3 linked regions of the Lytechinus pictus genome follow. The protein of the gene in region 1 purifies or fractionates together with the protein of each later gene. This does not show direct contact. Links are inferred from orthologs where the notes say so. Each region holds a gene or a part of one and is shown in the gene's direction. Other genes may lie near its edges.

Evidence for each region.
Region 2: the proteins of serine-threonine kinase receptor-associated protein-like (region 1) and cold shock domain-containing protein E1-like purify together in Homo sapiens (affinity purification with mass spectrometry; 3 studies listed by BioGRID and IntAct, counting the BioPlex papers as one, with this or other methods). This does not show direct contact. The link is inferred for Lytechinus pictus from reciprocal best matches to the Homo sapiens genes STRAP and CSDE1.
Region 3: the proteins of serine-threonine kinase receptor-associated protein-like (region 1) and SUZ domain-containing protein 1-like purify together in Homo sapiens (co-immunoprecipitation; 3 studies listed by BioGRID and IntAct, counting the BioPlex papers as one, with this or other methods). This does not show direct contact. The link is inferred for Lytechinus pictus from reciprocal best matches to the Homo sapiens genes STRAP and SZRD1.

Annotation. Positions count from the first base shown.
Region 1 is NC_087263.1:1,586,454-1,596,641, reverse strand, and holds the start of serine-threonine kinase receptor-associated protein-like, read left to right. Parts: upstream 1-5,356; 5' UTR 5,357-5,469; intron 5,470-7,028; exon of another isoform or gene 7,029-7,128; intron 7,129-10,188. Other genes in the region: isoleucine--tRNA ligase, mitochondrial-like, read right to left, coding at 560-847. UniProt on the Homo sapiens protein: The SMN complex catalyzes the assembly of small nuclear ribonucleoproteins (snRNPs), the building blocks of the spliceosome, and thereby plays an important role in the splicing of cellular pre-mRNAs.
Region 2 is NC_087247.1:53,964,433-53,975,498, forward strand, and holds the start of cold shock domain-containing protein E1-like, read left to right. Parts: upstream 1-5,975; 5' UTR 5,976-6,060; intron 6,061-11,066. UniProt on the Homo sapiens protein: RNA-binding protein involved in translationally coupled mRNA turnover.
Region 3 is NC_087258.1:17,652,910-17,663,207, reverse strand, and holds the start of SUZ domain-containing protein 1-like, read left to right. Parts: upstream 1-6,125; 5' UTR 6,126-6,181; coding exon 6,182-6,235; intron 6,236-10,298.

The DNA of each region.
Region 1 (10,188 bases):
ACATTTGCTGCAAAAGGATTACCTTGGCGGCAAATAAAAATGTGATAAGCAGATTCCTCATGACAAATTACCCCTTTTCACCATCTACTTTAAAAATTCACCGTCTACTTTTGTTTTGATAAGGATTTTTGTTGTCAATCACACACAAAACAAATGGGCTTCTGACCTCAGTGAGACAAAACTTTGGGTGGAAAAAATCATGCTTTTGTTGGTGTTGTTTCTTTTGTCCTTTTGCAAAGCAAGTCTCCAATGTGGGACATTGTCTCCCCTATTGGAGAGAGTCTCCCATATTGGCCGTGCGCCTCTACTGCCCTAATTTTATGATATTTTGTTTACTTTAACGGACGAATGAAATATGTTTGCAGATAATTTATTTAAAATGCGTTTCACATGGTGCATCATAAAAGATGGGCGACACAAAAGACGGTCCTTGCAATTGCAAAGACCCTTTCGTGCAATCGGCCCCTGGGCTCCGGCCCGCGAAGCGGGCCGAAGCTCCCGGCCCGGTTTAGGCCTGGCAAAGCAGCCCGGATCTCTGGGTGTAATTAAAGCAACGTACCGCTTGAACTGACTGCTCCCTGTTTGCTGCACCCCACAGCTCAAAAGAAGTGTTCGGCAAATTCAACGTGTCACTGTATCTCCCACTTTTATAACGTGTTGGAATTTCATGGAATTTCAGCAATCTACAGCAATATTTTAATCGTTGAATATTGCGTGTTGCTTCCTTGAAAAGTAACATTTTCTCCGTGGTTTCAGATCGGAAGCAAGAAGAAACGTGGGGCCGATTGCACGAAAGGGTCTTTGCAAGGACAGTCTTTCGTGTCGCCCATTTTTTATGATGCGCCATGTGAAACGCATTTCAAATAAATTATCTGCAAACATATTTTATTCGTCCGTTAAAGTAAACAAACTATTTGTTTATAAAATGATGTGATATCTCACAAAGTTGTATAAATTTGATTTAAAAGCAAGCTTACGAATTGTATTTGTTTATAATAAATTTCAGAAACACCCCGCTTATAGCGCATCATAAAAGATGGGCGACACGAAAGACGGTCCTTGGAAAGACCCTTTCGTGCAATAGGCCCCTGGGAATCGAGCAGCCGGCGAACCAGTGTAGTATGGAACGCGAAGTGTCGCAAATTAAAGGTCAATGCTAGTTTTGGTAACGATATCAAAATGAGTTCGTACAGAATCCAATGAAATCAAATGACCACCAAAGTGTCTGTTTGTATAAATAAAACGTATGTGCCAAAGGATTCTGGAAGAAATTGTGTAATTGCTGAGAAATCAGCAAATAAGCACAGGATTCGGGTAGAGCGGCGGCCGGGCCCGACATTCAAAGCAATAATTATACACTGTCCCACGTGTTATCTGTGTTGGGGATCTTCAGTCTGAACATTTTTCAGCGTAGATTTCAAGATTTCACAAAGTTCAGTTTATGTAACTGTACCAGATCTAGATCCTCAATGATATACTGACAATTAAGCCTTGTTTTACAGACTAATTTCTCATGAAATCAGTGTTTACTGCAAATACTGGAATTTCTCTTTAATGTAAAAACGATAAAGGAAGAAAAAAAAATTACACCCCCTTTGAATAAAAAAATAAAACACATAGAGAAAGAGGACAAACAGAGCGTCCTATTAATACTGTTTAAATAAATACATAAAAGGTCGGTGAACAGTAAGTTCACAGGCTGATGATTTCATATCCCGACTTACTTTTATTTTTTACTTTGTCGGGCCCCGTTGCATAAAAGTTATTATCATGGTAACTTTGCCATCCAATTTACCATGCCGGGCTACCAAGGTATTAGGTAACGTTAATCAACAGCCAACCAAAATTAAGGATTCCATGCAAGTTACCATTGGATGACAAAGTTACCATAATGATAAATTTTATACAACGGGGCCATGAAATTATATTTATTCATTTTTTTCCTCCAAGAAAGTAAAACAGGATTGAATTATATGATTTATTTCATATATTTGAAGCTTATTTTTGTAAAAGGTTCAGAGACAAGTTTAACACATACTGTGAATATAATGTAAGATAAGAAAATTGAAAAAAAAATAGGCCACCTATTCCAGATTCATTATGACGAAAAATATTTGATAATGCATAAGATGTGTATAGCGCACCCGGATAGCGCACTTTCAATCTTGATTAGATACTCAAGGCGCTTCAGAGCAGAACAACAAAAAGGCTATATTTATGTCTGAATAAAAGGGTCAATTGCTATATAAAAAAAATACTCTTAAACAGCTATATGTTTTCAGGTTGCCCAAGACAGTGGTCACTGAAGTCTGGGTTTTCAAGCTCCGGATTTTTTTTTCCGTTTGGGTCTGATGTTGCCATTAATGATGAAAATTAAGTGGCCCATGACTGCCACGTAATAAACCATAATTAGATTAATAGTAGGCCTATACAAGGTTTTACATCAAGCTAATTAAATATGTATTAACGCTATTCTTAAACTGTCCATGTTGTGAGCTGAAGGGAATTTGATCAATTGATCAATATTTCGGTGTTTTGCTTGTCGAATTTTATTCTATTTATTAAAATCTATAGATTTTGTCAAGATAGTAATTTGCTGCAGAACGGTATTTTTGTGTGCGGGGGGGGGGGGGGGGCTGCATACAAACACAATCGGTAATTTATCCCCATTTTTACATATACAGTTTGAAACTTGGGGGCTTATGCGACCCCCACCCCACTTACCTCTAGATATATTCTGTGTTTTACTCTCACAATTGTCGATCTTGATGTCTTTATATATGTGGTAAATCGTGAAAAGGGCTTGCCCCATTACATTATTGAGACTTTTCAGGAAATATGAAAGGATTTTTGACCAGTATCATGCAATTTGTTTCATGAAACAATCAATGGCCCTGTCCGGTAACCAGCAAAAAACAATTTATTTTTTTTGGGCTCAGAAATTGTAACACGTGTCATTGATGCGAAAATCAAATGAAAGGGTAATATCCTTCTTCGTGATGCAGTCAGGAGCAAATTCTCAGCACAACCGTATACGCAGGTCGTAATCCTTTGGGGTTTTTATCATTTTTTTTTTTACTTGATTTGATTTGATTTCTGCATTGAAATTAGAGACAAAAGAGTCTGTGCAATATAACATTTTCAAGGGTAGTATGTAACAATAATAATTTTGAGAAAAATGAAAATATTATCAACAAAAAAATGTATTAGTCATTTTGCCCGTGATCGATCGAGCGATTAAGCTATAAGCTTATAAAGATGGCGACCTCGTTTTTGGCATTGTCCTGACATTTCCATTGATTTTGTGAGTAAAACGTCGGTGGCGATGCGACTCGAATAGGGGCGACGGAACGGGGGGGGGGGGGGGGCAAGGGCACTTGCCCCCCCCCCCCAAAAAAAAAAAAAAAAAAAAAAAAAAAAATCCCCATAGGAATAAAGGTGCCTTTTTCAAAATAAAACACTTTTTTTAAAGTAATATAATAACGACAATAATGATGATGATGTTTATAATAACAATAATGATAATAATAATAACGATATAATAATAACGATATAATATAATAATATACCAAGTAAATTTCAGCGCCTTGAGCACATAATCAATGTGGATTTGGCGCTTTACAAATACTTTATGAGACTATGATATCGATGCATGCCAATTGATCACTTATCATCAGTATAGAAATAATTTCAGCAGATTCAAGATGTTAAAAGAATGTTCGTTTCCGGCACTTACATGTATATTATCGGTGAGTGATTCCTCTAATTTGAGTCATATTTTTTAGAAAACAAGTATCAGTAAAAAAAAAAATCAACTTTTTGGTTGGTAGGTCGGGTGAAGCAATATATTTGGGCGTAGCATTTCTTCCCTTTATTGATTGATTGATCGCTTTCATTTCTGCATTATATCAGATATAGGTTTACAATAAGTGTAAATTAACATATAGTTACAGTACATGCATTGGATCAATGGTAAAAGGCGATTGCAGCACAAGGATGACATGAAGGCAGTAGAAAGCCAATAAATATATTTCTTTCAGAGATTTTTCATTTTCTGAATATTCGTTCCCGAATTTGAAGAAAACGGCGGCCGTCAAAAAGAATATTCCGATAATTATTTTGAACATTAAGGGGAAGTTCACACTGGAGAGAAATTTGTAGTAAAATTAGCAGAAAAATAATAAAACACATCAGTCAATGAAGGTTTGAAGAAAATTCATTCAAAGATTAAGAAAGGTATTACAAATTTATGTTTTGGATTTGTGACGTCATAAACGAGCAGCTATATAGCTGTCCAATATGTTATTACTAAAATGCATGAATTTAAAATTTTCAGTGGTTCTTGATGACCGTAATGTGTTTGTTTTCTTTTTAGAAACGGAAGAGAAATTATTAGTCTATTGCCATACCGAAGGTACAATTAACCCATAGGGTTACCCCTTTTCAATTTTCTGAAAATGACATTTCATTGATTTTTTGCCATATACGATATGTACTAAATTTGCTCGAATAAAAAAAAATCAAATAACTACAATTCTAATAATTTTTCTACTCTTTGATTGATTTTCCTCAAACCTTCGCCAATATTTATTATCATTTTTTGAAATAGTTTTACAATAAACTTTTTGTCAAAGTTTACTGTCATTCAACCCATACTCTTTTAAAGGTCAAGTCCATCTCAGAAAAATGTTGATTTGAATCAATAGAAAAAAATCAGACAAGCACAATGCTGAAAATTTCATCAAAATAGGATGTAAAATAAGAAAGTTATGAAATTTCAAAGTTTCGCTTATTTTTAACAAAATAGTTATATGAACGAGCCAGTAACATCCAAATGAGAGAGTAGATGATGTCACTCATTCACTATTTCTTTTGTTTTTTATTGTTTGAATTATACAATATTTCAATTTTACGAATTTGATGATTGTAGGACCTCCGCCTTGCCTGAAGCACAAAATGTTCAAATAATGTAATTCCACGTGTTCAGGGAGGAATGACACTTCATTTTACATGACAATGACGAGAAAATCAAAATATTTCATATTTCACAAAAGAATTGTGAGTGATGTCATCAGTTCCCTCATTTGCATACCGACCGAGATGTGCATATAACTGTGTTTTGAAATGAAGCAAAACTTTAAAATGTCATAACTTTCTTATTTTATATCCGATTTTGATGAAATTTTCAGTGTTATGCTTGTTGAATTTTTATCTTTTTATTCAAATCAAGTTTTTGTTGGGGGTACCATAGAGATATATACGTAATTAATTAGTATCATAGAGATGTATACTAATTACGCTTATTAGTATATATCTCTATGATTAGTATACATCTCTAGCTCTATGGGGTGGACTTGTCCTTTAAATTCAACGCCCTCTAAGTCTATGTTAAAAATAAGAAGCGGAGCAGATGCAGAGCCGAAGAAAGAGGGCAATCCGGTCAATTTTACTGGTTTAATTGAAAAATTGGTAAGTGTAATTAATAGCTGAGGAGTAAATTTATTAAAAAATTGTCATAATTAATCCAATATTAATGAAAGAGACGTTTTAATCAATCCTGTATGGTGGTAAATTTATTATAAAAATGTCAAAATTTTTCGTTCAGAACTTGTCTTAACTTTACTTTAGTTTAGTCCCAGCTGTTGTAAAATTTGTTGTTTTTATTTTGTGACATATGGGGCCGCACGTCTTCGCATTTATTTTAAACTCATGAAAAAGGGAATTTCTTAGCATGAATTTGTTTGAAATTCCACAAGTATTGTTCATTATATTCTCAAGAGTAAATGTGCTGAAAACATCAAATTTACAGAAGAGTTAGGCCTACCTGCCCAGAAAAAAAGGCAGAATTAGGCCTAGGCCTACCAGTAGGGTGTCTGAAGCCACACTGAAAAGTGTCAGCATAAAACGGGCTAATTTAGGGGAAAATATGGCACATTTTTTCGGGGAAGTTCAGGCTACTAGAAAAATGTGATCTGAATTGATTATTAACTTGTGTTTGGCATGTATGGAAAGAGAACATTCAGGGGCTTCTTTTGACAGTAAGGACAAGTTTATATGATCATTTTAAATAAGGATTTAGAGATAAATTGCAAACCCTTATTTTTGTGTGTGTTGAAATTGCCATTTCTCCATGCGTTTTCAATGGGAAAATGAAATTTCTGTTTTGCACAATTTTTTTCACTTTGTCGCAATTTTTCATTGTGATCTGGTTTCCAAATCTTTATAAAAATCATACCATCAGATAGAGCATAAAAAATCCTATTGGACTCTTTATGGACAAGTTTTTGGCATTAATGATAAATTTATAACAGCTCTCGGAAGCTAAAAATTTGGATTTGTGTGTGTCCATTTCTTAACTACACAGTCTATGGCAGAGAAATGCTGAAAATTTACCTAATTTCATTCTTCTTTTTTGCAGCCAATAATTGTTTTTTTTTCAAAAATTATACATTTCTGTCAGTCTGAAGGTCATTTCTCTTCAAATTCACAAAGAAAATGTAATATTTTCTTGAAATAAGAAAAATACTTTTTTTCTCCAGACACCCTACTACCAGTATACCCAGTTGTTGTGTGTCCGGACAGGTTGTGTGTCCGGACGATCAATTTTAGAAAGTCATTTGGAAAAAATTACAAGCGAAGTTTCATCAAATTTTAGTACAAAATTTTAGAAAATATTATAGAGAACAAAATGGAAGATGATTACAACTATTGAATTCATATTTTTAGTGAAATCTTAAGACAAAAAAGAAGGCTTCAAAAATATAAAGTGTCCGGACACCCGATCCCCCATCCTACCACTCCTAGTACCAATGAGGTCCAAACATTAACATGTATGGACCTCATAGGCGACATTACCCAAATTATGGGTTGGACAATGCTGTTCTGATTTCCAACCCAAGACTTTGGTAAATGTACACCTTAATACAAGTTAGAGTTATCCGATATACCTTTCATTCGGACGGCAAACCTTTATTTAGTTGTAAAAATAGTTGAAATTAAAATCGATTATTGTTAAACTTACATTTCAGGCCCTTTTTGTTGATTTTCGGTGAGCGTTCCACACAGCTGCGACGAGTGATCAACTCCGAAGTGATACGCGTACTGGTCAGCTGATCGGTCAGGTGATCGGTTGGTTATCTTTTTGTCAGACATTTATGTTAAGCGTATCAATCTTCAGTATCTTGATTTCAAAGCATCAGTATTGCAGAGAAAAGTCATTATTGATTGGAATCAGTGGCGGGGGGGGGGGGGGGGGGGGGGGGGGTTGGGGTGAGCATTTCTGCCCGTTCCCCCTTTTGAGATTTATAGTAAACATTTTGGAATTAAATATGTTATTAATACTAGTTATGTGCCCCCCCCCCTCATGAGAATCACGTACAGCATTATTTGTAATGGGGATATTTCGTTCATATTCTTGTCTCTTTTTGGCCTTTTTTTTTAATTGCCAAATTCAAAATTTTACTGGTAGTCAGGTCCAGATTTTAAATAATATGCTCAGAAAAAGTGCTTTAGGCATTTTGTGTTAATGCTGATTTATCAATCGTTTTAAGGTAATTCAGGGGTGCTGAATCCAAAAATGCTGTTTGCCAAACTTGATTCCGACGTTTTCATCCTCAAATCGGCAAAAAAACAAAATGGCGGTATTTTTAAAACAATTTCCCATATTAAACGATTTTTATGGGTGATTGTATTTCAGAAATTGGGATCTATGCGAAATTTTCAATACCCAGGGTTGCAAACATAATGGTTCCGATTAAATGATTCGTCAGCCATCTTTAATTTCAAGATGGCTGCCATGATTCACAGCTGCTGATTGATAAATAATATGGCCAAATGTTTGATAATTTGGGGGCGATGCTGGCATACTCACATTGTGATATCTTTAACGTGTCCGCCATCTTTTCCTTGCCTGCACAGCAGAAGCATGACATGGACGTCGCTTTTCCGACGGCGGCGATGACCATGGCGGCGGTGAAATCAACATCAAATCTTAACCGGGGTTAAGTTTTTGAAATGTCATAACTTGTAGGATATAGATGTCTTTTTCATGAAACTTAGGCATGTTAGGATTAAAATAATCTATTGAGACAGGTAGTATAGTTAAAAAAGGTCGTCAAGGTTACATGGAAATCCAGCATGACGTCCACAACGGCAGCCGTTGTACCATCAACTCCAAAAATAAAGTAAATCCTTAAAATCAAAACCACCAAAAAGCTTTCAAGGCAAATAATGAATGAAGACAGGTTTACAAGATAGTGAGTGTGTCAGCGAATCCAAGATGACCTTCCAGACTGACGTCTATAATGGACGTCTGGACATTGTATCTTTGAAATGGTCCAAATTCATAATATATACACCTGGTAGAAATACCTTTGGGGTCTACCGAGAATGATATAAAACATTAAAAAAAATCATGGTTCCAAAGGGAAAAAATTACATCGGAAAATTTTCAAGGTTTATCAGTGGTGCAGTTTTGCAAAAAAAGTGATGATGGCCTAAAAATAGTTATATCTTAAAAATCTAGCTGCACTGAGTGCATATACTATCTACCTAGAAACATTTTTGTGTCTTCCTCATGGTTTCAAAGTTCAAATGATATAGGAGAAAACGAATTACATGGATACACCGTCATTTTGTAAAAAAAAATGAAGAACGCTCCAAAAATTACATTCGAATTGGCCACCATTAATACAAAAATGACAGTACTTCATATCCCATCTAGTGCCACTATTTTGGTGTCTCTGTTTTTAAGACTCATCCGAAACACAAACCTTAAAAACTAAGGTACACTTCGCCTAAAAAGTTCCATAATTCACTATAAGTATTTCAAAACATGTCATTTATGTGCTTAGGACCATCCTATGGTTTCAAGATTAGGGGACATAAGTCATTTTTACGCAATTTTAGAAGTCGCTTTGGACTTTTTACGACAAAAAGAAAAACTGACCCTTCTTTTTATTTGTCCCGATTTATTATTTCAGCCTTCAAACCACAAATGTGTAGATTTTGTTCACCTAATTATGACTATGTTTAGGTGATGGAAGTCTTTTTAGACTCATTTTGAAAGCGATCTTTAAATAATAGGTAAAATAGGCAGCTTCATGCCATTGTAACTAATCAAAACTTATTTAACCCTTGAAACCGTAGTGTAGACACCAAAATCATATCTCCCAGATGGATTCTAAATAGATTATGTCAATTTTTAAGTACAGCTCAGCCATTTAAGACTCCTTAATTGGAAGCCATCTTGGATCTTTAGACATACGGGACCATTGATTGCCCTTGTAACTTATCCTTATGTATTACTTGACCATTTAAACCAAGGTTTAGACAACATAATCATACACCCCAGGCGGATATTAAACAAACTATGTCAGTTTTTAGGTAATAATAGCCATTTTAGACTCCAATTTTGGAAGCCTTTTTGAATTCCTGGACATGCTGGACCTCTGGCTGTCCATGTAACTTGTCCTAATTTATTACTTGACCCTTTAAACCATGGGTTAAACCCCAAAATCATATACCCCAGGCTGATATTAAACAAACTATGTCATTTTTCGGTAAGAACGGCCTATATAGACTCCATTTTTTGAGCCATCATGGATTTTTGGACATACTGGAACCACTAACTGGCCTTGTAACTTGTCCCAGTCTAATACTTGACCCTTTAAACCATGCTTTATACTAGTTAAAAGATCATATTCTCCAGGCGATTAAATATTAAACAAACTATGTCGGTTTGTAATTAACGACAAACATTTTATACTCCATTTTTGCAAACCATCTTGGATATTTGGACATGGAGGACCATAGACTATCTTTGTTACTTGTCCCAACGTATTTATTGACCCATTAAATGATGGGTTAGACACCAACATCATATCCCCAAGGCAGATATTAAACAAACTATGTCGGGTTTTAGGGTTTTTAGATAACAGCTATTTTAGACTTCAATTTTTAAAGCCATCCTGGATTTTTTGACATAGTGGACCGTTGGCTGTCCTTGTAACTTGTCCCGGTTTACTTCTTGACCCTTGAAAATCACCGATGAATAAAACCGAAATAAAAGACACTAAAATAGATAATAGATTAATTGTGAATTTTTAGGCCATGGCAGCCATTTTTACGCAATCTTTGATTTTCAGGTACCCTGGAGTGCTTATGTTCACTCTTTCATTTCATCCCCTA
Region 2 (11,066 bases), on another chromosome or scaffold:
TTTTGTTTCTTTGAAGCAGTGGCGTAGCTACGGGGGGGGCATGGGGGGGCACGTGCCCCCCCTGAGATTTGGTGTGCCCCCCCAGGTGCCCCCCCTGAAAAAAAATGGCAGAGCAAAAAAAACAAGAAAACAAGGGAGAAAGAAGAAAAGAAAAACAGAAAAGAAGGAGAAAGAAAAGAAAAGAAAAAAAGAAAAGGAAAATAAGAGGAGGAAGAGGAGTGAATGAAATAATGTACGTGAGGGGAAGACTTGCAAAAATAATCTTTCATGTTACTATATAATTTTTTTGCTCGCGCTTCGCGCTCCCATTATTGAAATATATACCGTCTTCGTGGGTAACTGTAAGCAGTCCTTAAAGGGTCCCTTTTTGACAATGCTAGAACAGTTAATATAAATTTCTGCTCACGCTTGGCGTTCGCAGTTATCATCTAGTTACATACGAATCTTGTTCAGGATCATACATAACATTTCCCAGAATATTAAATTTTCAGGACAAAATACATGAAAGTAAAAAAAAAATCGCTCGCGCTTCGCGCTCGCACTTTTTATAAGGCTTATGAGATTATTTCATGTTTATGTTGTTTTATAAGAATAATACTAAGAAGTGACTGATCGGGGAAAATGTAGGTGAAGATAATTTCGGGCCCCGTCCCCTATTGGCGATAGTCGGATCCGCCCTTGTGCATACACACACACACACCGGAAAAAATTGTGCCCCCCCCTGAAAAAGCAAGGACCCCCCAGTGCCCCCCCAGGAAAAAAATCCTAGCTACGCCACTGCTTTGAAGGGGTAGTTTAATAGTCATTTCTTAGCTTTATTCCTATAAATCAACATAAATATATAATATCATAATCCTTATTATAATGGGAGCGCAAAGCGCGAGCTACTTTTTTTTAAATTCTTATGTATTTTTCCTAAAATTTGAACATTCTGGGCAATTTTTGTTGTCCTGAAAAAGATGTGTATGCAACTAAATAATTACTACGAACGCGAAGCGCGAGCAGAAATGAACTGATGGAAAATGTACCTGTTAAAGACTGCATGCACTTTTAGCCATGAAGACGTTACTTATTTTAAAATTCAAATAATGCGAGCGCAAAGCGCGAGCTAAAATTTTTTGAGGTTTTACACAAAGAATGGATTTTCTAAGCACTTTTTGTAACTTAAACAGAATAGGTTTATAATTAAACAATTGATGCGAGCGCGAAGCGCGGAAATTTCGAGATTTAGACCTACTGAACGAAACACTCTATCATGTTTTGTAAATCATGAAAAGGATGAGTACTTGGGGATCTTAAATGATGAATTATGTAAAGTGTCTACTTGGTTCAAATGCAACAAATTGTCTTTAAACGTAAACAAAACACATTTTATGCACTTTAAACATTATAATACCCATGCAGTTAACGAAGAAATAATGATAAACATTGACAGCGTCACCTTACAACAAAAACAACATTCAAAGTTTTTAGGAGTAACTATTGATGAAAATTTATCGTGGAATAATCATTTACGCCATATCACCACTTCCGTATCCAGAGGTGTTGGGATCATTTCCAAATTAAAATACTTATTACCCCCCAAAACTCTTTTTCTTCTTTATAATGTCTTGGTTTTCCCTCACATATCATATTGCAACATAGTTTGGGGTAACTGTGGTAATACAAAACTTAATTCGATTTTCTTTTTACAAAAAAGAGCAGTTCGTATTTGTACAGGATCACAGTATCTCGCTAGATCTAGTCCTTTATTTTTTAAATTAAGAACTTTCAGATATAAATACATATCAAGCTGCTATCTTCATGTTCAAATACAAAAAGGGAATACTTCCCCCTTCCTTTCAAAATATGTTCACAATCAACAACACCATTCACTCGTATCCAACACGAAACTCTGACAAATTTCATCTCACAAATCCAAAACTAATAATAGCACACAAATCAATTAGACATTACGGTGCAGATTTATGGAACAATTTGTCACCTGAAATTAAGTTATGCTCTACACTTTATTCATTCAAGGCTGTTTTGAAGAGAAATACACCGTTAAAATATAATACCTAAAATTTATGTGTGTTACGTACCAACCGATATTACAACCCTCCCCTGCACTTGCACTCTCGCACACTTGCACTTTAACTTTTATCAACATGATTATAACTTCCTCATTTTAATTTTTCTTTCCCTATCTACTTTTTTGGTAATATTTCTATTATTTTGTGCAATAAAATATAAGTCTCTTTTAATGCACTATTTGTCTGATTTTCCTTCCCCTTTCCTTTTGAGGCCTTTATCAATTTCAAGCTCTAAGCTTAAGATGAAGGTCTCCCACATTTCAAAATGTATTATTGTTGATATATGTATATATATATATATATATATATATATATATATATATATATATATATTTGTTTTTTCTGCTATTTTTTTTTAACAATAAAAAAAGAAGAAATTTATCAGGTATAAGTATATTTCAATTAGATTGTATATTATGCATATGTTATTAATTATATCATTTGCTTATTATGTTATGCTAAGAAAAAAAATGATTACACTTGTATATGCTTTTTTTGGAATGTGGAAATAAATAAATCAAATCAAAACAAATCTTCCTTACATTAATAACGCGAACGCAAAGCGCTAGCAGAAAATTTTTAAATATTTTATTTTATTTATTTATTTCCGTTTTATTTCAACAGGGTAGCCCTTTCAGTTACAAAACCGCTCTACCAATGGGCCCTGTACAATAAAAAACAAATACACATAAATAACAATTTACACACAGAAAACTTAAAACTATATACTTAACTACAAATATTTACTCAAGTAAAATCACATTAAATTGAAATTAAAAAAGTAAAATCACATACAAGCAGAGTATTCATATTAAGTTTAAATTAAATCTAAAATAACACAACCATAATATTTACATTAAATCAAAGTTAATACTGCTTTTTAAAATTCAGAGTTAAAAGTTAAAATTCTAGATTGTTTCTTAAATATGGGAAAAGATGTTATAGTTTGCATATTCTGGGGTAAACTGTTCCATAGATTTAAACCATAAAAAATGCAAAGATTTCTTGTAATACTCTGTTCGAGGTGTTTTGATTTTTAATGGGCAAGAATGTGCATATCGAGTTTGAAAGTTGATATCACGATAAACAATATTTTCCTTTAAATATGTTGGAACTGAATCATTAATCAATTTAAACATGATGAGGTAGGTCTGATACTGTTGTCTTTGTACAATGTTTTGCCAGTTTAATTGTGTGCGAAGAACATTGGAAGGTATTGAAAAATCAGCATTAAAAATCAAACGAGCATACTTGTTTTGAAGTTTTTGTATTTTCTTAATATTGCACTTCCTAGTTCTACCCCAAATAATGATACCGTAATCAATATGTGGCAGGATTAATGCATTATATAACATGATTAATATATTTTGCGGAATATTTTGCTTTATCTGTCTGATACAACCAATTATTCTTGAAATCTTCGTAAATACGTTTTGAACTGATTGAAAAGGTACCTGTTAAGTTCGATCTGCTTGCACTTAGCCATGATGACGCCACATTTCAACAATCAAATAATGGGAGCGGGAAGCGCGAGCTGAAAATTTTAACATTTCTACATAAAGAATGGAAAATTTTGATCAATTTTTGTAATCATGAACAGGATAGCTATATAACTAAACAATTGATACGAGCGCGAAGCGCAAGCTGTTGAAAAATCGAGATTTAGACCTAACAACGGGACATTCTATTCATGTTTTGTAAATCATGAAAAGAATGAGTAATATAGGGGATCTTCCTAATAATGCGGGCACAAAGCGCGAGCAGAAAATTTTTGATATTGTGATCTTAAACTGGATAATGATTTAAATAGAGAACAAGTTGAGTATCTGAATAAACATGCGCGTGCGTGTTTCATATTTAGACCTAGAATATAGGCATTCTAAATTCATCTTTTATCATGAAAATCAAAGCGAGCGTGAAGCGCGAGCTTAAACTATTTGATATTCCGATCTGAAAAAAGAGTCGATTTCAGCTCTATATTTCAAGCACTTTGTAGGAAAATTGCGAGGTGGATATGGATCGCACTTAATATAGAGCTGATATTTTTCATTATAATCACTTTGAGGTTTGACATAGGACCGGGACATCCCTAGGACATGTCATCATATGAAAATGATGACTGTCTTCCTATTCCTCTTGCTAAGCGCGAGATGAAACAAAAGGAACAATTCAATTATTAAATTAATATCTTATTCATTAATGCCTAATGAGGGCGCGAATCTGATGATATTATGGCCTGAAAACTGGACATTTCAAGCACTTTTATATAGTTATAAATAGGATGCATCAGTTAATTTATTATAACCATTAATGCTGGCTCAAATTGCATGCGAGCCTAAATTTTTTATACACTGTCATAGTTTAAATGTTGTATAATCAATATTGAGACATACATAACTCACTAATCAAAATGTGAGTGTGCGGCGCTAGCTGATACGTTTTGACAATCGGACCTGAAAAGGGATATCTTGAAAACTTTATGGAATACACGAAAATAATAGGTACCTGATAAATCGAAATTTGCGAGCGCGCAGCGCGAGCAGAAAATGGTAACATTCAGACCATAAAACTGACATTTTTACAAAGCACTAAAAAAAAATTGTAAATCACACAAAATAATGAAAGTTCGATTTTATTCTCTTGATAACTTTTACCATCTTCACCATGTTCACTCTTTTTAAACTGTTACACCTGTATCGAGCAACTTTTTGATCAGGCCGGGCGGCACCAGGAGGATTTAATAGGCGGAAGATGGCCTACATTACGTCAAACCCCCGTTTGGAGAAAGACCGCAGTTCAGATTGCAAACTGCGGTTCTATACCCCATTTTGCGTTTGTAAATCCCAAAATCATTTCCAAGCCCAGGGGGCCGTTTCATAAAGCTGCTCGTAAGTTAAGAGCGACTTTAAGAACGACTGGTGATCCTTTCTCGCGCGCTAGATCTTCGCCAATGGTGTGTACCATTTACCGCAAGACAGGATCACCAGTCGCTCTTTATTTACGAACAGCTTTATGAAACACCCGCCTGATCAATCCCGCTAGGCCAGGTAATCCCCGCTGTCTCAATTTTACCTCCACAGGCCAGATTATGAGCGTTGAGCCAAGGACGAAATGATAAACAACAGCTGTGCTATTACGTAAGACTTCTCTGCCTGTAGTAGGACCTTCGGAATGAAATTATTGTATTCGATATTTAATCACGTTTTCAAATGCATATTGTATTCAGAAATCCAATGTTAGTCCATTTTCAAGTTCGAACGAAGAAAATCGACCTCGAAATAAGGAAAGTAAGTGAATTAAAATGACGGCATGCTTTGCTCGGGCTGTTGTGTTATCTTCGGACCGAGGTCAAGAAACAGGTGTTTTGATACTTAAATTGCTTGCTTGGGGCAGTTATGGTTTGTCGTACCAATAGGTCCATGGTCGTACTTGGAGAAGAGAATTGATTGAGGGAAACTGGGGTATAGTGTTTTCAAATGAAAGGTTTTCGTCATGTATTTGACCTTATATTTTCAGTATAGTGGTAATATAGAACATAGGTTGGTTGGTTTGTTGTTGGGTAGGCCTATATGTGTCGCTGGGCCTTGTCCGGGGGGTTGAGGCTAATTGCCACGTGGCCGGATGAAATTAATGTAAATAATTTCTGGTTGAAAACCTTTTTTTTTTTGCTCGTCAAATTTTCTTCATGTGTCCCTCCCCCTGCTTCTGCTCCAAATTCCTTTCCTTCAAGCTTTTTCCTAGTCCTGGCTCCCTTTCTTCCTTTTTATATGCTGTGGACTGTACTTTAACGGATGATGATGATGATTTATTTGTCTATGGCTGCACCCAGGCTGCACCCCCCCCCCCCCCCCCCCCTCCTCCTCGGCCTCCTAGCTCTGCCTCGGCCTCGCACGCGTACGCGCTCGCGCGCGTGATGCACAAGCTTCCAGTAATGCAAATGGCGGAGGCGAGGGCACAAGTGCTGTTGTGCGGTGTTGAGCCTGAGGTGAGAAAAATAAAATTGAAGTTTTGTTTTGAATTAAATAGACTCTACGTCCTTTGCTTCAAATTTAGATTAATATATTTTTAAAGTATTTAAACTATTTAATTTTGAACTTCTTCTGTTCTTTCGAAACAAATGATTTGTTATTTCTTAGGCCTAACAGAGGCTAGACTATTTTTCTTGTTCTCTGAGTCTGATTCAGTGATTGAACTTTGAGTTTGAAGCCAATTCGGCGCTAGCTGATGTAGCTTTCATCATGGCGTTTATTGCAATAGATTAACGTTAATTTAAAGCCGGGTTTTAAGCTAGACAGGAATAACCGTCGTTTCTGTGGATTTATTTAACAATTTCTGACATTTTACTATCACCCCCATGTATTGGTGAGTGAGCCAAGTTAGCCAACGCAGTTCAGCGGAACAACCAAAATACAGAGACTGAATGAAGCTTTACTTTAGTTTTGCCTAATTTTAAACTAAGACTAAGTCTACCTCAAGTCACTCATTCAATCAATGAACAAGGTTATGATATAACCTCGTTCTCAATTATAATTATATCTCCATGTGTGGCAAAATAAGGATGGCAATGTTTGGCTTATTTTCTCTTTTTCTTTGGGACAAATGGTGAAATGCTTGATTTTTTTACACTGACAGTTTCCATTACACCTATTCGTCATTACAACTTGGCCCTTTGGCTTTAGTAAATTTGATTCTTTAAATTATTTTTTTTCTTAATTAAAAATAGAGATAAAAAAGAAAATTTTCTTGCCATATTATTTTCCACCAATAGAGGGCGAACACAAAAATATGCCAAAAATTCAAGGTTTTGAGCGCTCTAGTGAATACAAAAATTATTCCCAAGTTACAAATGAAAAATAAATTGCAACTGTATGGAAATTAGTAATTTTGGTCACAAAAGTAATATTTTAATCATTTTTTAAAGTGTGTGCTCTTTACAGCATTGGCATGCCATAGTCCAACCTGTAGGCTGTAGATTCCCCACAGGCAGGGTGGTTGCAGTGAACAAGTGCCTCGAGTAAAGTTTGTGCAGGCTCCACCTCACTACCACTACCGCTACACTCCACCTACCCGAACTTCTACACCCGTATTTCACTCCGTGTCCATCCTCCGGTTATCCTCGAAATTGGTGATTTTGGGCCAGTATCTAATTCCTCACACGTATTATTCACTGCCAATTTCAAAACATCGCATGCGATCGGTCGCAGGTCAAACAGCATAAATATTTATATTATATTGGATGGCTTAGAAAATACCAGAAATATTCTAAGTCTAAGAGTTTGGAAAAATATTCCACGAATCAGTGGAATATTTTTCACCAATTTTGAGGCGAACCGGAGGATGGACACAGAGTGAAATACGGGTGTAGAGTAAGAAATTAAGCTATTTTTCTTTCACGTTATATATTTTTTCTTTAATTTTTACAATAAATAACTTTTTGATCCCACCTTTGTCACTCGGAATATCAGATCGAGTCCACGGTCCCGAAGTTCATGTACAGGTGGAGTGTAGTGTAGCGGAAGTGGAGTGGAGGCTGCACGAACTTCGCTCGAGGTAGCTAAACTTAAAGTCAAATTCGCTTGACCGAATTATCCTAGCCAGGTCAACATGGACAAGGCCAAACTAAAGCCTTTTTCGCTGGTATCATGATCTCAAAATTCCATGACCATGACAATTGACTAACGTTAGTGCATGCTCAGCTGAAAAAGTATCATAAAAAAGTGTATGGCAAGTTCCCCCAAGCACAAGTCTACGTCTGTGTAGTCCCCCTTGTCTGCGTACATGCCTATCTGCCTGATTCTAGAGTAAAAGGAGCCCAGGAGTCGACCGTGCAAAACGAGAGAGACACTGGGGTAGATTGGGGTCTCAATAGTAATCTTAATAAAATGTGGAAACATAAATCATGCACTTACTACGATTATATCGATGAAGATGAGGTCTATCGTGACATACAAATCCTGACATCGAGGCACAGACTGGAACCTAAAAAAACCTGAAAAGTTCTGTCGCTATACCTCTCATTCTTTCAAAATTCAAAACAAAATGGCCGATCGAGAGCGAGGCTATATTCTGGTTTTTTTTTAGGTTCCAGTCTGTGCCTCGATGTCAAGATTTGTGTGTCACCATAGACTTTCATCCACATAATCGTGGTAAGTGCATAATTTCTGTTTCCACATTTTATTAAGATTACTATTGAGACCCCAATCTACCCCAGTCCCGTGTCTCCCTCATTTTGCACTGTCGAAGATACGCAACGAACACAAAATTTACACATGCAACACATACCAGTGGATGTTCATTAAAAAATCTGACTCAAAATGGTGGGAAAATAATGAGTTTTGGGCATTTCATGTGACGGCCTCAAAATGCAGCCTTTCTCATCAAAATACCTGAATCGTGTGCAAAGTGAATGGGTGCGCAGACATGGGGTACATTTTTTTTAAATCTGAAAATGACTGCCTGAGGTTCTTTCCAAGAAAATCCTATATTTCTTTCAAATTTTTATGAGATATTAGGTACACTTACTTATGATAATATAAGAAACATAATTAATTGAAAGATTTTGTGAAATAAAAAGAAATTAATGTTAAATCTTAACTCAAATCGTTAGGTGGGACCACCATCATAACCTTAATTTGTGCATGATCGTTTTGCAAAGAGACTTTTAGCCGAAATTGAGGGATTCGGCATAGGTCTATCTAAGCTCATAGAATGTGAGTGGGTCAGGTCATTTCTTGTTGGTCGACAGCACTGTGTTTGTGTAAATGGTGTGTTCTCTGACTGGGCTGATGTAACCAGCGGAATACCGTAAGGGAGTGTACTTGGACCCCTGCTTTTTGTAAGGTACATTAATAATCTGCCAGATCAGATTTTGTCAAGTAGTGTTTATTTATTTGCAGATGACACCAAGTTACATGTATACAAGCATGAAAAAAATGATAAAGATGCTGAGTTACATGTATTAGAAGGGGACTTAGATTGTCTTGTTTCACGGTCTGACAAGTGGCTATTAAAGTTCCACCCGGATAAGTTTTAATAGGTAAAAAGAATGATGAATTTAATGACTATACAATGACACATGATAATGCCTCACATATATGTAATCTATCACAAGTTGAAACTAGTAATGATTTAGGAGTGATAGACGACACAAAGCTTAGTTTTGACCAGCACTTTCAGTTAAAGATAGGCTAATGAATCTAATTAGAAGAACTTTTTGTCTCGCCCACCAGAGGTGAAGGCGAGACTTAGGGATCCAAATGTCGTCCGTCCGTCACAAACCTTATGACATATAACTCCACAACCGTAAGTCGCTTTTCAACCAAACTTGGATGGTAGATGGACTTTGGGACCTGCATGTTATGCTGCAGTCGGAGGTCACATGGTAAGGTCAAAGGTCATTTTCAGGTCAACGTTAAAGTTTTCATGCAAGACTCTCTTATGACACCTAACTCTGCAACCGTAAGTCACTTTTCAACCAAACTTGGATGGTAGATAGACCTGGGAGACCTGCATGTTATGCTGCAGTCGGAGGTCACATGGTAAGGTCAAAGGTAATTTTCAGGTCAACGTTAAAGTTTACATGCAAGACTCTTATGGGCATTTTCACCACAGATGGACACAGAGGCAAAAAAATCAAATTGATATTTATGTCAAATGCTTTATGTTTTTTAATAATACAAGACCTGAAGTTTCTGGAACAATTTTTTTTTCCAACTGTGGCAGCCATTTTTTATTTCAAAATGGCCACCAGAGTATGGATACAAATTAGTGTTGAAAATGGTATATTGATACATATTTTGTTCTGACAGATATTAAAAGAACAGGTTTGATCATGATATTTTCCCCCGTGATTTAGCTTGCTATTATAACTTTTTATAAAATCCCATAAAAAGAATCACCAGTAATTCATTTATCTGATAAAAAAATGTTGATGAAGTATGTGATATGGTATGTAACGTCAGTTACCAAAAACATGAACTTTTTTTTTTCATTTCCCAGATTTCCTCCTTAGGTAACACCCCTCCCTTCTACACCAAAATAAAAGATAATTAACAATCAAGCCATAGGGTACCATAAAATATGTGTAACGTCAGTTACCAAGTGGAAAATGTAATGTCAGTTACCGAGATGTAATGTCAGTTACCATGATAAAACATTATTATCAATAGTGAAATGCAAATTTGGTCAATTTTATGGTGAAGAAATATTGTATACTTGTTATTTAAGCCTTTCACTGTCTTAATTAAATCACACCAGAAGGAGCTTGCTATTGACTTTTAAAAGGTATAGTTCACAAGGAATACTATATAAAATTATGAAGAAAGTTGCATTCCCATCATGCAAAAAAAATTACTGTGAAATTGCATATGTACATACTTACCAAGTACCTAGTTTGTATCAGACAAAAAGTATTTTTTTATTTTTCGGTTTTCGTGGGGGAGGGGGTACTTTTCCCAACCTATTGCCTGAATCTGCAACATTTGATAAGCTTAACATTGTAATGAATGGGAGTTTCCAGGGCCCCTTTTTTAGTTTCTAGGATTCTTTTGAGCATTGCCGGGCTAAAAGTAAATTCCTGGTTTTTATACCTGTTAGTAAGGTAGATGTGTGATACAATTTTTGTTTTTGGTTTAAAAGTATAGATGAAAAGTGAAATTTGATAGTTCTGATCCAGGGAAAAAATTAATTTTTTTTTTCGGGGGCTCCATTTTTAATTTTTTGTAAAATTTCGGGGGCTCCATTTCTACCTTTCGGGGGCTACTTTTTGCATTTCGGGGGCTCTTTTCAAATGCAACTTTTTTGTATTTTGAGGAATACCTGTTCACTTATTCATGAATTATATTACTTATTGTTTAATATTGTATGATTTTTTAAGTTATTTTTTTTCATGCTTAGAATCTTGGATGTGGGTGTGTGTGTGTTTGTGTGACTGTGAGTTGAACTTGGATATAAATGAATTAAATTTCTAATTTCTACTCCATCTATTCCAGT
Region 3 (10,298 bases), on another chromosome or scaffold:
GCAGACAATTTGACCTGACTAGGGATATTTTGAGAACTTTATGGAATACAGGAAAATAATAGACCTGACGATTCAAATTTTGCGAGCGCGCAGCGCGAGCAGAAAATGTTAATATTCAGACCATAAAACAATATTTCTTACAGAGCACCTTTTAAAAACCAATTTGTGAATCAAACAAAATAATGAAAGTTCTATTTCCAAGCATTAGCTGAAATATGTTTTTGTATATTCACTTTAAAAAATTTGACATTTTAAGCTCCATATATTAAGCAAGATATGCAAATGACCAATGCCAGCGCGAAGCGCCAGCAAAATTTTATATAGTGACATGAAAGATTTTTGTTATTATTATATTCCAAGTCTTACCCTCATCGCCCTCATCTTATTTTATTCACCCGTCTTCCTCCTCTTATGTTTCCCCTTCTTTTAGTTTCTCCTCCCTTTTCCCTTCTATTTTTTTTTCTTTCCCCCTTTCCCCCCTTTTTTGCTCCGCCAATAGAGGGGGGCGGGCCCCTCGGTCCTCTGGATCCGCCTATATTATAGTACCCTCTACTCATTCTCTCGACTTATATAACTCATTCCCTCGACTTATATAACTCATTCCCCCGACTTATAACTCGTCCCCTTGACTTATAACCGTTCTCACTATGCACTTACTTACTCGTTATACCATAACTCGTTCCGTCGACTTCATAACTCGAGGGAACGAGTAAGTAAGTCGTAAGAACGACTAAGAAAATACAAAAACAAAAACAATTTTTTTTTCGCAATTTGTCAGATGTGAAAACGACATAATGAACGGCGTTGAAGGTAACTTTGATATTTTAATTCAAAAGGGGTTACTTAATTTATATCATTGCAAGAAGAAACTCGACTCTTCAATAAAAAGGCTCTAAACATGGTACACTCATTAGACCATCAGAAAAAATACGAAACCTTGGTGTCATATTTGATTCCCGCATGTCAATGTCGTACCATATCTCTCATATCTGTAGCACAGTCACTTTTGGAACATTTCTAGAATCAGAAGGTTCATTGACCAGTCTGCCTGTCACAATGCTGTTCGTTCATTGGTTCTGTCTCGTATCGATTATTGCAATGGGCTCCTTTCTACAATTCCCTCTAATCAATTAATTCGTATTCAACGACTACAAAATTGGGCAGCACGATTAATTTTACAGGTTTCCCGAGATCATCCTTCCCAACCACTCTTTAATTCTCTTCACTGGCTTCCTTTTAAACAGAGAATTACGTTCAAATTACTCTTGATTGTCTACAAAACACTGAATAAACAGGCTCCACAGTATTTAAGTAACTGCTTGAATCTGTATACACCAACTAGAGCACTTAGGTCGGCCAGTGATCACCTTCGCCTCACATATTCATTAACTCGTACATTAGCTGGTGACAGAACTTTTACGGTGTCGGCTTCAAAATCCTGGAACGACCTGCCACTAATAATTAGACAGTCTCCAACATTAGCAATTTTCAATAGTTTTTTTTATATAAAATTACTAATTAAACTTTACAAAAGTTTTTTAACAGTTTAAATCTTATACAACTAAGTTAAATATCTATTAATGGTTGTTTAAAATTATAAACATCCTTTTACACTGTGAAACAAATACTGTAAAGTTCAGTGTTGAATAAAAGATTTTAGAAAGCGTTTTTACTGTGAAATAAGAGACATTGGTAAAATATAAAACTGGAGCCCGATGCAAAAAAAAAAAAAAAAAAACTTTGCGTTTAAACGCAAATCAAACTATCAAGCTTAAGTCTTTAATGCGCGCTTCTAATTGGTTAAAAATAAAGTTACGATGATTTATAGAATTGCGTTTGATTGCAAAGCTTTCTGCAACGGGCCCCTGATGATGTTTCGAAAAGTAGGGGACGCGCCCCGGGGAGCGTTTCATCAACATTTTCGTCTGACAAGTTGTCAGATCCGACAACTTTCCTTGATTCTGATTGGCTGACAAGCACTGCAACTATGGTAACTGTCTGATAAAATGGGACTTGTCGGATAAAACGTCCGACATGTCCTTTCATGAAACACTCCCCAGGACACGCCATCCCGCCATATGCTCTCCGGCCAGTGACTGCTTTACATCTTTATTTTCTTTCGTCAGGCCGGGTTTCAGCGACAGACCTCTATACTGTGGTTTCAGCATTGCGCAATCACAAATAAAGAGCAAATTATTATTTTTTTATTCAATTGCGGTTTAAAACTTTAAGCTCGCTGTTCAGGCCCATAATTTTAAACAATTCTTTTAAACAAAAATTGTAAACACTGTTCAAACTATATACTTTTAAAAAGTTTAAACAATAGTTGATAAGCAAATTGCTTGTAGAGAATGGCCCAAAAAGATAGTAACAAAATTTAAAATAAAAAAAACATAAAACTGTATTATCAAAAAAAAGGCAAACTTCTTCTGCAGACATAAACGCAAACTTTTTTTTTTTTTTCAATATGTTTTTTTTATTAAGGATTTCATTCAAATGAATTACATAAACTGCAGATAAATACAAAAAAAATACAAATCTTCATTTCATATCAACAAGGATATGCAAAAAAAGTACATATATATTTACCAAGAACTGAAGCAAATAAGGACGAAATGAAACTCCTTAAAATTATACTTTTATATCTGAAAAAAAAAAATAACTCAACTGAGTCCCCAACCCTCTATGTATTTCAATAATAATTAATGTTAAATGGCTATATAAATGATTTGCAGGAAAACAGAAATCAACCTAAATGTATTATCATTGCATCCCATTTTAAATCAAGCTTCAACATAACTTTACATAATTATACACACACCCACCTTAACACCCTTACACACATGCACATACCACGCATACGTAAACAAACATAATATATACAAATCTGCATAATGAACGTTTAACATTTTGGCGCAATAGGATACAGAAAGAAAAAAAACCTGCAAATCATATTGATACAAGAGAAGGGGAAATTGAAAAGAACTAGTAAAAAGAAAAAAAAAAACATCAACATTCACACCAGGATTCACACTCGCACCACACTAGACACATCCCACCTGTTCACATTCAAATCCCTTTTCACCTTCAGTTCATCCCATTTCTGCAAATGTAAACTTAACTTGCCTGACTTCGTTGCCAGGCCTCTTTCTTCTTCTATACAACCCGTTATATATTTGTGTATTTTAATAAATGACGGTACCCGGCCTTCAGCTCTGGAATTAAAAATTGCATATTTAATAAAAAGAATAACAGAATTGACACATTTAATTCTACAAGAATTTCCAGGTAACCCTAAGAATATTTCCCTCCAATTCAAAGTTCTTAATTCAGCTAAACAAAAATGATCAATACAAAATTGCCAAAGAGGTTTAACTTTTATGCAATCCATGAGTATATGAAAGTACGATTCAGTTTTTGTACAACCAAACGAACAATAATTATCTTCCACGAAACCAAATCTCATCAAATGTTCTCTTGTATATATTGCTCCATGTAAAAGCATAAACTGAAATTCCCTTTGTTTTCTTATAAGAGTTGTACTCCTGATATATTCAAATAATTTACAAATTTCTACATCAGTAAAATCAAAATCACTGTGACCATCCTTAAGGACGTTCCACAGTTATGTTTGTGCGCATTATGGTGTGCGCATATTTTACACTATGCGCGCTGACGTCACAATGGATGAACAGGTTATTAATTAGCTGCGGGTATGAGCTGATTTTTCTAATCTTCTGCACTTTAACTGCAGATACGATGCGTTATTTCATAAAGCTAAAAAATTGAATTATTCCATGGACCATTCAAAAAATGTTCTCTACAATTTCAAAATACTTTACTCTGCAGTGCTGCCAAGAATCGCAAATATTACCCAGAGTTTGAATAAATGGTAGAGTGGTTTTGATTTTTTCTTCACATAGATACTAAGCATTCGGCGCATTGTTGGTGTTTTAAAAAGCACATTTTCTCTAATAAAAATGCTGATAGTTTGAAAACAAGCACATGAACCCCTATTTTTTAATGTTTGTACCTCATAGGTATACCTTCCTCTACAACTCTGCAAATTTTGGTGAAAATGACATGGATTTTAAATAAAGTGCAGCATTTATTGTACGTTTGTAGTTTGTTACTGAAATTTTATATTTTTTAGATTGGGATTTTGTTATCTTTTACGCCATTTTTAAGAACTGACAGTGCTATTAAACTTAAAATTGCAAACAAATAGCACTTTAAAAAAAATTCTCCATTCTAACGATACAATTATTAACTCTCTTGCGAAAATTGATGACTTTTTCATGTATTTTGACTGAGTAATGGAGGTTTAAACTCATTGTATTAATCTTGGGCGGTCTAAAAATGCCAAATTCTTTTGAATGCGCATTTCTTAAGAACTTCAATTTGGGTGAACTTTGAAGCTCTATAGCAAAAAATCAAGCACATGGACCTATGTTAATTTTTGCATATTTCGAATATTAAGGTTCTAAAGTATCTATTTGCAAAGTTTGGTGAAAATGACATGGATTTCACTTTAACTGTGGAACGTCCTTAAGTGTTAACTTGTATAGCTCTTGTAGCTTAGTAATAAACAAGTTATAAATTGTTTTTGATTTAATTACTTCAAAAGCTGTTTCTTGTTTTCCAATATTCATACTTATCCCAAAGTCTACCAAATCAATTTTTTAAAACTTTATTAAACTATTAAAATTTTTCCAGCTTGCTGGTATAACGTGCACAATATCTATTATTTGGAGAAGTTGATTTGCGGTAATACCGAGATTTTGAAAAAAGTCACAGGCTTCAAGTGGCCATTATCAAAGATTTGATCAACGCTAAATATTCCTTTATTAAAAAGATCATTGTCAAAAATTGTTTTACCTTTTATACAAATATGTTGATTATTGAATATAATAGGGTTAACCTCCTCTTCAGAATAACGAAATCTCCTTAAGTCTTGCCAAGCCTTCATCATTTCTGAATAAAATGGGGGCATTTTTATATTTAGTTTTGAAGTGTCAAAGTCACATAGAAACAGAAATCTCCCCCCAACTGATCGAAAACAAAAATCAAAATACAACTTCCATCCTGCATCTCGTTCTCCGTAAAGTAATCGTTTAAGCCACATTAAACGTTGAGACTTTACAAACAAACGCATTAACACACACACACACACACACACACACACACACACACAACCACAACCACACGCACATCCCCACACACACACACTCACGCACGCACACAAACTTCTTGTTTGGTTTTGGTTGGCAACCAGTCAAGAAATGAACATTTCTTACCACTGCTTTTGGAGCTTCTTTTTTTGTTGAAATGATCTTCTTTCCCTTCAATCTTTTTTTCGTTCTATTTTACTTTTCGTTCTTCTTTTCTTTTCTATTTTCCTTCATTTTTTCCCCTCCTTTTTTGTTTTCTTTTCTGTCAATCTTTCTTTCTTCTTTGTCTTTTCCCCTTTTTTTCCTTTGTCTTTCCCTCTTTTCTTTTATTTCTTATTTTTCCCCTTTCTTTCTTTTCTTTTCTTTTATTTCATTTATTCATTTTTTTCTTCTTTTCTTTTCTTTTCTTATTCTTTTCCCCTTCTTCTCTCTTTTCCTTTTTTTTACTTTTCTGTACATTTTTTTCCTTTCTCTTCTTTTTCTTACAAACCCTGACAATGTTATCGTCGTCTTCCCAGCAAATTTTTTTGGAAAAACTTTTACTGTGAAAAGAATAATTTTGAGATACATTTTGGAATAAAAGCTAGAAAATTATCCCTTAAATTTTAGGATTGTTCTGGGAAGGTTTTAAAAGAAACCATCAAAGTTATTTAAAAAAAAAGTTAAAGTTATTTCTGGAGAAAATAATACTAAGGTAAACGGGCCCTATTAATATTTTCGGGAAAGCTGGAGCCCCTATAATTAAAATCCCTCTTTACGTGAATGCAAATGTGGGGGGGGGGGATTCGCCAGAGAAACGTACTTTTTCATTTACTGAGAACGGGAACATCGGATCATATTTATTTATTTATTTAGGATAGATTATCTATGGTTTTCGCTTTTCACTCTGACTGTCTGAGAAAGATTTTTTTTTCTTTGCTACTGGATATTTCGGCAACACCTACCGGTACCGTATACATACATTGGCAGAAGAAGTTCTTGTTGACGACTCGAATTTGTTTTTGACGGAAATGGAAGATTCAGAGGAGGTATGGGACAGCTGGGAAGATATGGCAGATAGTGGAGTAAGCTATTTCTACTTTTTTATATATCCATGCAGATTCTGACAATTTTAGTTTGTTATCTGCCCTTGAAATCTAACGTTATTTCTGCCTTATCAACGGAAAGCCTTGTCCTGGTGTAATGTGTTGGCCCATTTATAGCAAATAGTGTTGGCCCATTTACACTCACACTAATACGAGGTTAGTATGGCAGTGTATCCTATTACCGGACACCTTTATTTCAGTGCTTTAAAAATGACAACTAGAGGAAATACAATCAAGAAATATTCACACTTGCTATTCCAAATATTATGAAAATTATGAATATGATAAAATTATTTTATATTTACCAACCATTTTCTTTGCATCGCACTTGCCGCATAGGGCCTACCCCTCCACGAAAAACAATTATTTTCGTGCGCGACAAATTACATCATGATTCCGGACGCGCGCCGGACGGGCAAAGATATCCTTGATTCTAATGATGTAAGAACAAATTTTTGTGATTTTTTTCTTCTTATATCATATCATGAGTAAATTCTAAGTATTATTTGCTTTTTTTATATCGAATCTGAGCAGATGTTGGTAATAAATTTGTGTTTGATAACTTATTTTATTTTGTCTTGTTAGCTGCATGTTCCATGGCACTTTCCAATAATAATATGCTCGCGTTCGTATCGTGACGCTCATCAAGTTCTATCGATGCGCTGCCGATCGACGGCTATCACGGTAAACCTCGCGCACGGGTACCTTGAGAACTAGCCGTCGACGATCACCCACAATACACCACACCTCATCATTCGATCGAAGGAGTGGACGAGATTGAAATTCGGCAAATCAGGCCCATATTTCCGTTAGAAAATATATCAATTGTTAATACAAAACTATGTTATATGATATTTGAAGCATTTTCTGTCATTTTTAGAGATAATTAGGTAAAAGTTTGATTTTTCGCCTTGTTTTTGCAATCTTGTTCTATGTATTGCTCTGTGAAATTGAATTGCGGAAGTCTTACGGTACGAATTTGTTTTAGAACGCAGTAATATGCGCGTCCGGAATCATAATAGTGTCCAGTAATACAATACGTGACTATATATACTAATGTTGTAAATCGGATCAAAAATCAGATCGAAAATCGGATCGGCAGTTAAGCTTCTAAAATCGAAATCGAATCGAAAATCGAATCGGCGATGTTTAAAAACAAAGGAACACATCAACATTTTGTTCGCGGTCGCGCGCATCTTCCTGACAAAGTCACAAAGACGAATGTTTAGGAATGGAAGTAGTCGACATGCGCGATCGTTTGGAACATGCTTTTAAAGGGTTTTGAGGTTTAACTGCTTAACAATAAAATGAGTGATTTTTATTAGAAAGATAAACGAATGACGCATCTTCCGAGCAGTCGCAAAGGAAAATAATTCTCGTAGATCACAGGTCAATGAACGATCGGCGGGACATCTTTTATAAGAATTTTTATGTGAAGCTGAGCTCAGCTAAGTTCGCTCATTATAATATGTGATTACAGCCACGCCCAATAACCATTCCAAAGTACACCCATTTTGTTATAATAGCTTACTTGGTACATCATTTCTCCGAATCAGTTCTGGGAAAAGTTAAGTCACGCCTCAGTATCGATCTTTTTGTATACCCACCCACTCAACAATATCAGTGAATTACGCAATGCGCGCAAGCATTCACACAATACAAGATAGTTTTGTGGCATAGCCGAGAACTGGAACCGCCCAGACTCAACGGGCTAGCGCAAAATTCTTTACACTACCTTTTGGCATGTGCACGTGGTGGGTTTAATTGACACTGCTAACAGTGCTATTCTTTGAGTTGGCTCACTGGCTGGATTAATGACAATATATCACTGCAAGTATGGCTTACATGATACATACAACACGCAACACATCCATACACACTGCTCTCAAACTCCCTTGCTATTATTCGTACCTAGGCCGTGTGTGCACTTATGGGCGGGATTTAAGCAGGGCATTGACTAGCATAGTATACAACACATCCATGCACCCAGCATTCATATACATTTCTCAAACTCCCTTGCTATTCGTCCATTGTGTGAACTCATGGGCGGGATTATGACAAAAATTAGCGCAAGCACTAGCATACGTAATACACACAATACATTCCTACACCCACGCGGTCACACATAGCTCTCAAACTCCCTTGTCATTCGTCCATTGTATTCACTCATGGGCGGGATTTATCAGCGTAAGCACTAGCATACATAATGCGTACAACACATTCATGCAGTCACACACAGCTTTCAAACTCCCTTGCTATTGGTCCATTGTATTCACTTATGGGCGGGATTTATCAGCATAAGCACTAGCATACATAATGCATACAACACATTCATGCACCCATGCAGTCACATACAGCTCTCAAACTCCATTGCTATTGGCCATTGTGTGCACTCATGGGCGGGATTATGACAAAAATTAGCGCAAGCACTAGCATACGTAATACACACAATACATTCCTACACCCACGCGGTCACACATAGCTCTCAAACTCCCTTGTCATTCGTCCATTGTATTCACTCATGGGCGGGATTTATCAGCGTAAGCACTAGCATACATAATGCGTACAACACATTCATGCAGTCACACACAGCTCTCAAACTCCCTTGCTATTGGTCCATTGTATTCACTTATGGGCGGGATTTATCAGCATAAGCACTAGCATACATAATGCATACAACACATTCATGCACCCATGCAGTCACATACAGCTCTCAAACTCCATTGCTATTGGCCATTGTGTGCACTCATGGGCGGGATTATGACAAAAATTAGCGCAAGCACTAGCATACGTAATACACACAATACATTCCTACACCCACGCGGTCACACATAGCTCTCAAACTCCCTTGTCATTCGTCCATTGTATTCACTCATGGGCGGGATTTATCAGCGTAAGCACTAGCATACATAATGCGTACAACACATTCATGCAGTCACACACAGCTTTCAAACTCCCTTGCTATTGGTCCATTGTATTCACTTATGGGCGGGATTTATCAGCATAAGCACTAGCATACATAATGCATACAACACATTCATGCACCCATGCAGTCACATACAGCTCTCAAACTCCATTGCTATTGGCCATTGTGTGCACTCATGGGCGGGATAAATGACAAACACAGTACAAGTACATGTTCATTGTTTGTATATTATACAATACATTCAATCCAAGTTACACTCCCGCCATACCAGTCAGCGCAGCTACCGGTAGGTCATCATAAGTAGGTCAACCTTTTATGAGTCATTTCTGACATTCTAGGAATCTCGATTGTTCGAACTATTCGATTGTTAAAAAGCTCTAAATAGCTAGCACCTCTGCAAGAACAATCTTGAAATATGTTCTGACCGCACTGTAACTAGATCTAGTCTACAGGTATGCCGATTTTTTTATATCCGATTTTTTCCTTCAAGGGGCATGATCGAAGATCGGCAAGTGATCGCCGATTGTTGTGAAATCGAATGGAATCGGTTGCCGATTGCAAAATCGGTTACAAGCTTAATATATACTAACAGTCGTACAAGGGACCGTGTTTGACCCTGGATTTCGAAGTAGTCGGCAAACATCGCTTCATTGCTGAAGTAATATTTGCCGAAACTCCTTCTCGCTACGCACCGGGGCTCTTTCCGGTAAGTAGCAATACATAAAAAAATTATACATATGACAAGGCTCCACATTAACTTTTTTTGGTGGTGGCCCGTTCGGGCCACCAAAACCTTCAAATAATTTTTATAGTGGCCCGATATTAAAGTTTTGTGGCCCGAAAAATATAAAGAAAAACATTGATTAAAAAATGAATAAAATATTAATTCTGCAGCCACTACCACTAAGTTACTTTCACTTTGTACATCTTGTATGTAAATCTTGTTTGCTGTTATTTTACTTTGCTAATTGATTTGTGGTAATATATAAATTGTTCTATCATTGTAAATATGAAATGATTGAAAGAGAATAAAAGAATTGTATTGTTCCCAGGTTGTGTGGACTTTTTTTAAAATCTCTGTATAGACACACACTCATAATGGTAAAGTAAATAAAC